3 linked regions of the Mus musculus genome follow. The protein of the gene in region 3 interacts with the protein of the main gene of each other region in a pairwise test. Links are inferred from orthologs where the notes say so. Each region holds a gene or a part of one and is shown on either strand. Other genes may lie near its edges.

Region 1 (3,600 bases), on a different chromosome or scaffold from region 3:
CATGACTCTCTTCTACATGCTTAGAAACTAGCACGCTTTTCACCCACCCCCGTCCCTCATCACTTATGCTTGGCCGTCCTTCCAAACACATCTATTTTCCTGGGTCAGGTGCTCGGGTGCTCACCCTTTACGTAAACAGAAAGTTCCCCCGCTCCGGATACCAGATAATATCAAACTCTCAGCTCTCAGATTGTTTCCTTTAGACCCCAGGCTGAGTGCAGTCCCAAGGGTCCATTCCTTCACCAGTCCCCTAGATCTCTGGGCACAATACGTGACAACAGGAGGAAAGCTTGTCACATTGCCCGGATATCTCTTTCTAGACATTAGATGCGTACGTCCTATGAGACATACACACCTTTCATGCACACAGCTTTGTAAATGTATTTCTAAGCTACGAGCACGGCGCCTACACTAAAATGGCCCTCGGAGGCCACCATCCTGGGACACTACAGTCACCCGCTGCAGCGACTTCCGGTTCGAGGGGTGGGAGGATACTACATGCGGAAGTGCAAGGGGGGAGGTCGAGCGTCGCCATGGGGGCTCCGTTCCACTCCGCACAGCGTGCAGTAAAGAAGTGGCTCTGAAGCTCGGTTGAAAGTACCGGCCCGCGCCTCTGGAAGCGGTAGACGCCGGAGTTCGAGGGCGAACGCTTGGCCACCCTCGGAAACCCGGGCCGCGGGCGCGAAAAACCCTTACCCACTGCGCGCGCGTCGGCTTCCTCCCGGCCCCGCCCTTCTTCTGGGTCACGTGACTCGCGGCGCTCTCAAGCCCCGGATGTGGGTGAGTCCAAGCGCTGCGGCAGGGGGCGGGACGGACAGCGATTTGTTGTGACTTGCGCGCATCCCCGGCCGGAGGAACGGCGGGCAGGCCCGGGGGCGCGCTCCGCCGGAGGCGCGCTCTGCCGGGGGCGCGCTCTGTAACCGACCGCATGCCCCAAAGACGGGCGAGCTGCGGCTAACTGTGGTGCGGTCTCGGCCCTGGCCACGGTGGTGCCGCTAGGCTCCAGGCCTCATGGCCCGCGGCCGCAGCTCGTTGCGGCCCACCTGCCGCGGGGCTTTCCAATGCCGGGTTGCGGCTGCCCGGTCGTCGCGCCCCTGGGTTCCTCCTCCTCCCTATGGGACTCTGGGCTGGCCGGCCAGGTGCTTCGGCCTGCGGGAGGGCGGGCTGCGGGCTGTGGGCTGCATGGCTCCCGGGAAGGGACCCGGCTGCTGCTGCTGCCGCCGGTGTAGGACCAGGCCTTAGCGTTAGCCGCCCAGCGGGAAGCCCGCAGGGTTCCTTGGTGATGTTAGTATGAGAGGTGCGGAAATGTGGCGGGAACCCCTGATGGCAGGGGAATTGCAGATGGCTTCACGCTTTCAAGTCAAGCATAGGAAACAAGATTGGTGGAGTGAAAGTTTGGAAAGGGGAATTCCACAACAGCGCTTTCACGCGGAGACACTTGACAGTGAATGGGCTTTTGTCCTTTACAAAATCGTGGAGTTAGTGCATTCTGATGTCAGACCTAGTTTTCATTTACAGACTGTAGACTTGTTGCCAAAAGTGCTCCCCATTCTCCCCAACTAGCGCTGGCTCTCCTTTGTAGCTATGATCTGGAACTTGCAGTGTAGACCAGGCTGGCCTCAAACTCAGAGATGGGCCTACCTATGTCTCCTAATTAAGGATCCGCGCCACCTCGCCTGGCTTTCTTGAGGCCAATTTAGAGTTTCAAAAATGTATTACTTTATTATAGCTCTTTGTACAACTCGAATATTTGTATTTTATATTTTGTATGTAAGTCAGAGATCAATGGCTATAGTTATCTTTAGCTTTTTACACTTTTTTTTTTTGTTTTGTTTTTCGAGACAGGGTTTCTCTGTGTAGCCCTGGCTGTTCTGGAACTCACTCTGTAGACCAGGCTGTCCTCGAACTCAGAAATCCGCCTGCCTCTGCCTCCCGAGTGCTGGGATTAAAGGCGTGCGCCACCACGCCCGGCTTTTACACTTATTCTTAAAGGCTGCAGCTTAACGATATGATGAAACGAATTATCTTATTTGGAATGCAGCGCCATTTTTAGGTTAATTTTTGTCCCGTGCTCTCTGTCTTTTACTGTGTCGTCCTCAGTGGTCAGTATAGTAAAGGAGGCTGCGAAACTAAAGAGGGTTAGAGACTTAAACCACAGACACATGTCCCTTTAAAATGTGTATATGCTGAAGTTTCAGAAACAATGGAGATATTGTTAATCATGCTGCTGCTGCTTCCTCCCGTGGAGCGGTAGGGACCGGTTACTTAGGCTTTCCTGTACTGTGTGGTGGCTGATGGTGACAGCATTAGTCCACACTGTCATAGCTTAAGGTGCTCCCCATGCCAAAGGCTAGAGTTGCTTTTTTAAGTTTTACAAAAACCACAGTACTATTTTTACATCAGTACAAATTTATAAAAAGCACACAGTGTCAGTGTCCGGTGAGTTCAGGTTCTTCAGCTATTCCATATGTGCTTGTAATACCAAAGTTGTAGACTTGTAGACCAAAGTCCTACAGAGAACTGTCAGCTGCATTCGGTTGCTAGGCCTTCAAAACCCTCTAATCAATAATCAAAACCCTCAATTTCTTTCTTTCATATATATACATATATATTATATACATGTATTATATGTGTATATATGATATTTTCTTTATTTACATTTCAAATGTTATCCCCTTTCCTAGTTTCCCCTCTGAAAATCCCCTATTTCTCCCCCCCCCCCAAGCAGGTTCTTACCTCCCGTTTCTTTATCACTCAGGTTTAGCTGGTTGTATATATTTTTGAATTTATGCCTCTACCTCTTCTATGACCTCTCCTTCACTGGCTAAATCTTGAACTACACTATCCAGTGTGGCAGTCATCAGCCAGCCCTGACATTTTAAATGAACTGTTTGGTTCCCCAGATGCATTAGCCACATTGGAAATGCCCAGCACACACAGGCTGCCTAGTGGCTATTGTCTGATTAATACTGATAAGATGTTTCCATAATTACAGAAAGTTCTGTTGCAATACAATGATCTTTTGAAATACAGTGTTAGATTCAGCCTTGATTTTTGATGGCAGGTACAAGAAAACTCAAAGGTATAGGTTTTATATTATAAAAATTATCTGTTGCGTTCATTGTCAGGGAGACTTGTAATGTCTGAGTCACCCCACTAGGGATGTTAGAATTAAGCTGTGTATGTCGGGGTTCCTGTGCTGTTTGCTCAGTTGAGCCACCATGAAATTGCCCAAGAGCCTTTGGTCAATAGGGAGCTCTTCATGGCTAATAGTGCCTGGGCCGATTACTGAGTGAGAGCCACCGTGGTGCTTTCTAGTGGCGTCATGTGCCCAGTGCTGCTTAGCTGGCACTCTTATGATGAACTTGCCTTCCGCAGCTGACTATCCTGAAGTACAGTTTGTACAGGAATGGCAAGCAAAATGCTTAACTCCGTTCCTTTCTTTTCAGACTACAGCAATGAATTGGTGGCCTAGCAACCTCCAAAGGTAACCCAAGGGCTCCACCTTAAAACAAACAGATAGACTTGAATGTGTTTAAATCTGTGACGTAGCAACCTCCAAAAGTAACCCAAGGGCTTTATCTTAAAAACCAACCAACC
Region 2 (3,728 bases), on a different chromosome or scaffold from region 3:
ATTCCCATTCATGTGTCCCAGGGGCAGCATTGGCATCAGGCACACCCACTCACTGTCACCCTGAAGCGTGCTGTACTCCCCTGGGCAGACTGCACCCCCAGCCAGCTGACCTTTGATTCTGATTAAGCCTGCAGGTACTGGGAGCAGGTGCTTGCCTTGCTGTGGCCTCGGTTTGAGCTGATCCTGGAGATGAATGTCCAGAGTGTCCGCAGCACTGACCCCCAGCGCCTTGGGGGACTGGACACTCGGCCCCACTATGTAAGGGCGAGCAAGGTTAATAAGGGGGTCTGTGGTCACACTGAGTGGTGGGTGGGTACTGCCGAAGGAGTCAACTTAGGCAGACAACATCTGTTCTGACTGGTGACAGAACTTGCAGGGGTATCTGAGGGTTGTATCTCCCAGTCAGGCAGGTGTGAGCCTTCCCTTCTTGCTCCCAGATCACACGCCGCTATGCTGAGTTCTCCTCTGCACTTGTCAGCATCAACCAGACGATCCCCAATGAACGCACGCTGCAGCTCCTGGGACAGCTCCAGGTATAGCTAGGCAGGACATATTTGCCAGCAGAGGGACGGGACCTGTGTCCTTGCTTTCTAACCTGCTGCTTTCATTTGGCTTGTGCAGGTGGAGGTGGAGAATTTTGTCCTCCGAGTGGCTGCAGAGTTCTCCTCCAGGAAGGAGCAGCTTGTGTTTCTGATCAACAACTATGACATGATGCTCGGGGTGCTGATGGTAATGCTGCTCCTCCCACGGGGGTCCCTACAGCTTGTGAGCTCTGCCTGAGCTCAGCGCTTTACCCCTGGATGCTGGCAGTGTCCACATCATGGAAAGAAGGGGAAGTGATGGCAACAGTGAAGGTTCCCAAGCTCCTGACTCCTCTTGTCTTCCTTAGGAGCGGGCTGCTGATGACAGCAAAGAGGTGGAAAGTTTCCAGCAGCTGCTCAATGCTCGGACACAGGTAGGGCCTGGGTGCAGCAGGAAGACTGCGATGCTGTTGGACTGACCTCTGTGTGCAGTCATGAGTACAACCCACTGCCTTGTTGCTAGTCTATTTCATTTAACTTTTTCAAGGTACTAATAGTTTAGAAGCAACATAGAACTATACCTATTTATGTATGCATGTGTGTGTACTATAGCTACATGTATGTATGCATGTGTGTGCATGTACTATAGCCCTGTGTGTATGTGTGTGTGTGTGCACTATAGCCCTGTGTGTATGTGTGTGCATGCACTATAGCCCTGTGTGTATGTGTGTGTGCACTATAGCCTTTTGTGTATGTGTGTGCATCCACTATAGCCCTGTGTGTATGTGTGCGCACTATAGCCCTGTATATGTGTGTGTGTGTGTGTGTACTATAGCCCTGTGTATATGTGTGTGTGCACTATAGCCTTGTGTGTATGTGTGTGTGTGCACTATAGCCCTGAGTGTATGTGCACTATAGCCCTGTGTGTATGTGTGTGTGTGCATGCACTATAGCCCTGTGTGTATGTGTGTGTGTGCACTATACCTCTGTGTGTATGTTTGTGTGTGTGTGCATGTATTATAGCCCTGTGTGTATGTGTGTGTGTGCATGCACTATAGCCCTGTGTGTATGTGTGTGTGTGCACTATAGCTCTGTGTGTATGTGTGTGTGGGTGCATGCACTATAGCCCTGTGTGTATGTGTGTGTGTGTGCATGCACTGTAGCCCTGTGTGTATGTGTGTGTGTGCATGCACTATAGCCCTGTGTGTATGTGTGTGTGTGCATGCACTATAGCCCTGTGTGTATGTGTGTGTGTGTGCATGCACTGTAGCCCTGTGTATATGTGTGTGTGTGCATGTACTATAGCCCTATGTGTATGTGTGTGTGTGTGCATGCACTATAGCCTTGTGTGTATGTGTGTATGTGTGCACTATAGCCTTGTGTGTATGTGTGTGTGTGCACTATAGCTCTGTATGTTTGTGTGTTTGTGCATGTACTATAGCCCTGTGTGTATGTTTGTGTGTTTGTGCATGTACTATAGCCCTGTGTGTATGTGTGTGTGTGCATGCACGATAGCCCTGTGTGTATGTGTGTGTGTGCACTATAGCCCTGTGTGTATGTGTGTGTGTGTGCATGCACTGTAGCCCTGTGTGTATGTGTGTGTGTGTTATTCGACGCGTTCTCACGACCGGCCAGGAAGAACACAACAACCAGAATCTTCTACGGCAAAGCTTTATTGCTTACATCTTTATGGGGCCAGAGTGTAAGAAGCAAGAGAGAGAGAAAACGAAACCCCCTTCCCTCTTTAAAGAGAACAACAATTGCCTAGGACGCATCACTCCCTGATTGGCTGCAGCCCATGGCCGAGCTGACGTTCACGGGAAAAACAGAGTACAAGTAGTCGTAAATACCCTTGGCTCATGCGCAGATTATTTGTTTACCAACTTAGAACACAGGATGTCAGCGCCATCTTGTGACGGCGAATGTGGGGGCGGCTTCCCACATGTGTGTGCATGCACTATAGCCCTGTGTGTATGTGTGTGTGTGCACTATAGCTCTGTATGTTTGTGTGTTTGTGCATGTACTATAGCCCTGTGTGTATGTTTGTGTGTTTGTGCATGTACTATAGCCCTGTGTGTATGTGTGTGTGTGCATGCACTATAGCCCTGTGTGTATGTGCATTCTGCTTTGCAGGGAACTGTTTGTGTGTGTGCACATGTAAGCTCACACAGGCACATCTGAAGCTCATGGAGGTCAGAGGTCACAACTTCTAGGTCACAACTTCTTTTCTTGCTTCTTCGACCTTGTGTTCTGGGGACCAGTGGAAAGCACTGTTCCCTGATGAGCCAGCATACTGGATCTTGGTTCTGGAGAAAACCCTTGGGGACATCCCCTGCAACTTGTGACATCACCACCTAAGGTGGAAGGCTCACAGAGACTGCTGTCTGGCGGGTCATTAGACGTCCCTGTGCAGAATGGGGGTCCTTTGCTCCCAGGAGTCTGACCCTGTGTGTGCTTGCACTTCTCTCTAGGAGTTCATTGAGGAGCTGCTGTCTCCCCCCTTCGGGGGTCTGGTGGCATTCGTGAAGGAGGCTGAAGCCTTGATTGAGCGTGGGCAGGCTGAGCGGCTCCGAGGGGAGGAAGGTATCTGATGTCCTGGTGCAGTAGGTAGTGGGAATTAGGGACAGTGAGCGGGGGTGGAGGGGGTGGGGGGGTGGGAGTGGGGAGTCACAGGGGAGGCAACGCAGCAAGGAAGACTTGGCTGGAAGAACACCAAGAAAGCCAGGCTTGATGGTGAGCACAGATGTGCCCAGGGCAGGCCTTGCTGGGTCACCAGCCCTGGTTGCTCTGTGCCTGGTGGACGGTAACCAGACCTGGAGCTCTCTGACACACCTTTTCCTCTGGCGGTCAGCCCGAGTCACTCAGCTGATCCGTGGCTTTGGTAGTTCCTGGAAGGCATCAGTGGAGTCCCTGAGTCAGGATGTAATGCGAAGTTTTACCAACTTCCGAAATGGAACCAGCATCATCCAGGTGACCGGCCACTCCCACCCTTTGCCTGTGTCCTAAGGTTGTCTATTTCCTCGCTCTTTCCCCTGGGCTCCGCATCACACAAACGCCTTGAAGGCCAACAAGCATCTGTGCCTGAGATTCTGGTGAAGCTCTGACAGCTCAGGTCACCATGAGTCTGACCCTGACTCTCCTCTGTGCAGGGGGCGCTGACCCAGCTGATCCAGCTCTACCATCGCTTCCACCGGGTGCTGTCTCAGC
Region 3 (3,176 bases):
CCCACCGATGCCCACCGCGTCTTCCCGAGGGCGGGAGCAAGCCATCAGGTAAGGCCTCAGGACGGTCACTCCCTGCCACATGGTTGCTGAACTGGCATAAAACCCTATGGGTTTTACCCTGGTAAATCTGGATTTACTAAATTATCTGGAAGGTATTGTATGACATGGTAGAAAATCGTTTGCTAAGAACGTTCTTCTAAGAGACAAATGTGATTTCCTTGGGGATGATAGGTAGATAAGCTTACACCATCAGCCTTGCTTGGATTTCCAAGGTCACAATTAAGATTTTGGTCAAAAGGTGGCTTTTTTTTTTTTCCAGCCTTTGAATTATGCCCTGTTAAGTCTTTGCTGGACAACTTCCTCCTTGGCTTAAAGTGCATTAATTAAGCCTTAGTTTGTTGCCCTCAGGAAATCCCTTGAGGAAAAGAAAATGTTGGAAGAAGAGAGAAATCGGATCCTAACTAAACAGAAGCAAAGAATGAAAGACTTGCAGAAACTGCTGGCAACCCGGGTTAAGGCTTATGGCTCCCACCAGAGCTTGTCTCAGATAGTTAAAGCCAGGGTGAAGGAGCTCAGGTACCACGGAAGAGCCTGGGAACGCCAACATCAGCTGCCAAACTCCCTTTCCTTCCCTTTCCTTTCCTTTCCTTCCCTTTCCTTTCCTTTCCTTTCCTTTCCTTTCCTTTCCTTTCCTTTCCTTTCCTTTCCTTTCCTTTCCTTTCCTTTCCTCCTGCTTAACTAGTGGATACCTAGATATGAAAATACTATGGCATCTTAATTTATGGATTTAAATAATCTTTGGCTGTTCCTACTCAACTGTTACATATATGCACACATATACATCTTATAATGACAGTCAGTGTATTTACTTACCTCCATAGCGAGAACCATGAGACCATGTGGAACAGAAATGGCTTTGTTATGGTCATAGTTAGTAATTGCTTAAAAACCAGCACAAAACCTTATTTATGCAAGTGTGTTCTTATTTATAAATTATGTAAATATTTGGCATATATACATGCATTGCATACATACATTATACATACATACATATGTACATTATACATCTGGTGCTGGGGGCTGGGCATGTGAGGACCAAAGCCAGGATCTTGTACACAGACTGGCTGATCTGGATAAGTCAGGGAGTTCTGTTCGAAGTTTGTACCAAATACAACAGTTTGAGTGGATGCATGGTGGGTACATGCTGCCCCTCATGACTGATAGCAGCCACAGAACACCTACAGTCCTTTACAGAATACTACTAGAATTCTATAAAGCAGAGTCTGAAAACCAGCATTCCAAACATTGCACATAAAAATGGTCATGCTTAAGCAAGAAAAGGCCCTCCAAAGCTGGGTAAGTAATATGACTTATTAACTTTTAAGATCCAAATACGTACATCTATTTTATCACTGAGCCTTCCTTTACAGTATAGGATCAGCCCACTAATAGAGCCGAGTTTGATGAACTTGAGCAAAAAATTCCTTAGGAATACAGTATTTGCCTGTAGGAAGTTGAATACCAACTTACTTTGAGTAAGCATAATTTTTGTAAAGTATAATTATTTTCCGTACCCATGAAACTCTCTTGTCTTGGTTGCTTCTAGTATATCTTATACAGAGGAAAACAAAACAAAACAAAACAAAACAAAACAAAACAAAAAAACAGTGAAGTTTAATTCATTGTGGGATCTGGTCCAGAGGATGAGCACAGCGAGGTTCATGCTTTTGGCTCTGCCCTCAGTTGCTACATTCTCATGAGCCCCACTTTCTCTCTTACCTACTCCCACTTAATTAATGTTGCCACTGCCCACTAGGTGATCTCATTTAGGGAAAGAAGAAAAGCAGGGTCTTTTTATTTTGGTGTTTGAAACAAGGTTTCTCTGTGTACCCTGGGCTGCCCTAAGAACTAGCTCTGTAGGCCAGGCTCGTCCCACACTGGGATATCTGCCTGCTTCTGCCCCAGAGTTTTGGGACTAAAGGTTTGTGCCACAACTGACCAGTTTCAGGGTCTTGTTTTTGAAAGAATATTTTTTAAGATACCCATTTGGACCAGACTTTCTTGCTTTTGTATACTTTTATATAAAACACTTTTTCAGGCAAGACTGAAGTCTTTTTGCCTTGAAGACTTTGGAAATCAAAATGACCAGACCATTCCCAGGGCAGTACACTGTGTTTCTTCAAAACCTGGGCTTTTTATTCTGGATTTATGAAAATCTTGCCAGTCTAGAAAAGGAACTGGGCTGAGCTGTGCTCTCACTTCCTGGTTTGTCTTCTGAGGTGAATGTCCTAGGAGAGCTTCCGTAGCTGACCTTTAAAATGCCACTCTCTTTATCTGGTTCTAGAAGGAGTGAAAAGGCCAGGATGAGAGAATATTGGCAAGAACTGGAGGAACAAGAGGAAAAACTGCAGAAGAGGCCGATGTTGTTTGAAAGAGTCACCCAGGTTGTGTTTATTGGTTAGGGCCATCACCAGCTTTCTGTTTCTCAGTACTTCTGGCCTCCACCTTTGTGCTCCGTCTTACGGTGTCCTACAGTTGCCAAGACATGATGTTTCTGGGGCGGCTTCATCCAGTCCACCAAGAAAGTAATTTCACTTAAGATGTGACAACGCTTGTAGCTCAATAAAGAACATGTCACTAACCCCATGTACCTCAAGACATTCCTGACACGGTTTGCTTTAGAGTCTGGTCTTTTTAGTCAGATTCTGTTGAGGCTTCGGGATATCATGGGGAGGTCTTTATGAATTCAACCACTGGGTGTATGACCATTGTATGCAACATAGTGAGACCGTCTCTTAAAAGCACTTTAAATTGGGTATTTCGTTAGTTACTTAGTTAGATTACTTGTGTGTGAGTGTTTTGTGTAGGCACCATGTGCATTTCTACCCACAGACATCAGAGGTATTGGATACCGTAGAACTATAGTTGTGAGCTACCATGTGAGTGCTGGGAATTGAACCTAAGCCCTCTATAGAAATAAGTGCTCTTAACTACTGAGCCATCTCAAGGCCTAAAAGCATTAAAAAACCAAAGCAAATCTCTCTGCTTCACCATCCTCCTTAGCACGGTCCTTCCTCCCGTGGAGGCCTTTCACTCCCAAGTTCAATGGTGATCTCAAGGGGGTCTCATGATTAACCTCCCCAGTCGTATTGCCTCAGGATGGGGGTGGGTAATCA

What was found.
Region 1: the proteins of Fam161a (region 3) and Cep63 interact in binary tests that used the Homo sapiens proteins (3 or more experiments, as listed by UniProt). The two-hybrid records come from large-scale screens. The link is inferred for Mus musculus from reciprocal best matches to the Homo sapiens genes FAM161A and CEP63.
Region 2: the proteins of Fam161a (region 3) and Vps52 interact in binary tests that used the Homo sapiens proteins (3 or more experiments, as listed by UniProt). The link is inferred for Mus musculus from reciprocal best matches to the Homo sapiens genes FAM161A and VPS52.

The regions. Positions count from the first base shown.
Region 1 is NC_000075.6:102,623,443-102,627,042, reverse strand, and holds the start of Cep63 (centrosomal protein of 63 kDa), read left to right. Parts: upstream 1-918; 5' UTR 919-1,011; coding exon of another isoform or gene 1,012-1,061; coding exon 1,062-1,139; intron 1,140-1,145; exon of another isoform or gene 1,146-3,356; coding exon of another isoform or gene 3,357-3,449; coding exon 3,450-3,487; intron 3,488-3,600. UniProt on the Homo sapiens protein: Required for normal spindle assembly.
Region 2 is NC_000083.6:33,962,289-33,966,016, forward strand, and holds part of Vps52 (vacuolar protein sorting-associated protein 52 homolog), read left to right. Parts: intron 1-127; exon of another isoform or gene 128-134; coding exon 135-258; coding exon of another isoform or gene 259-273; intron 274-437; coding exon 438-533; intron 534-621; coding exon 622-729; intron 730-889; coding exon 890-955; intron 956-2,992; coding exon 2,993-3,104; intron 3,105-3,372; coding exon 3,373-3,491; intron 3,492-3,670; coding exon 3,671-3,728. UniProt on the Homo sapiens protein: Acts as a component of the GARP complex that is involved in retrograde transport from early and late endosomes to the trans-Golgi network (TGN).
Region 3 is NC_000077.6:23,021,086-23,024,261, forward strand, and holds the end of Fam161a (protein FAM161A), read left to right. Parts: coding exon 1-48; intron 49-408; coding exon of another isoform or gene 409-576; exon of another isoform or gene 577-1,356; intron 1,357-2,344; coding exon 2,345-2,462; 3' UTR 2,463-2,657; downstream 2,658-3,176. UniProt on the Homo sapiens protein: Involved in ciliogenesis.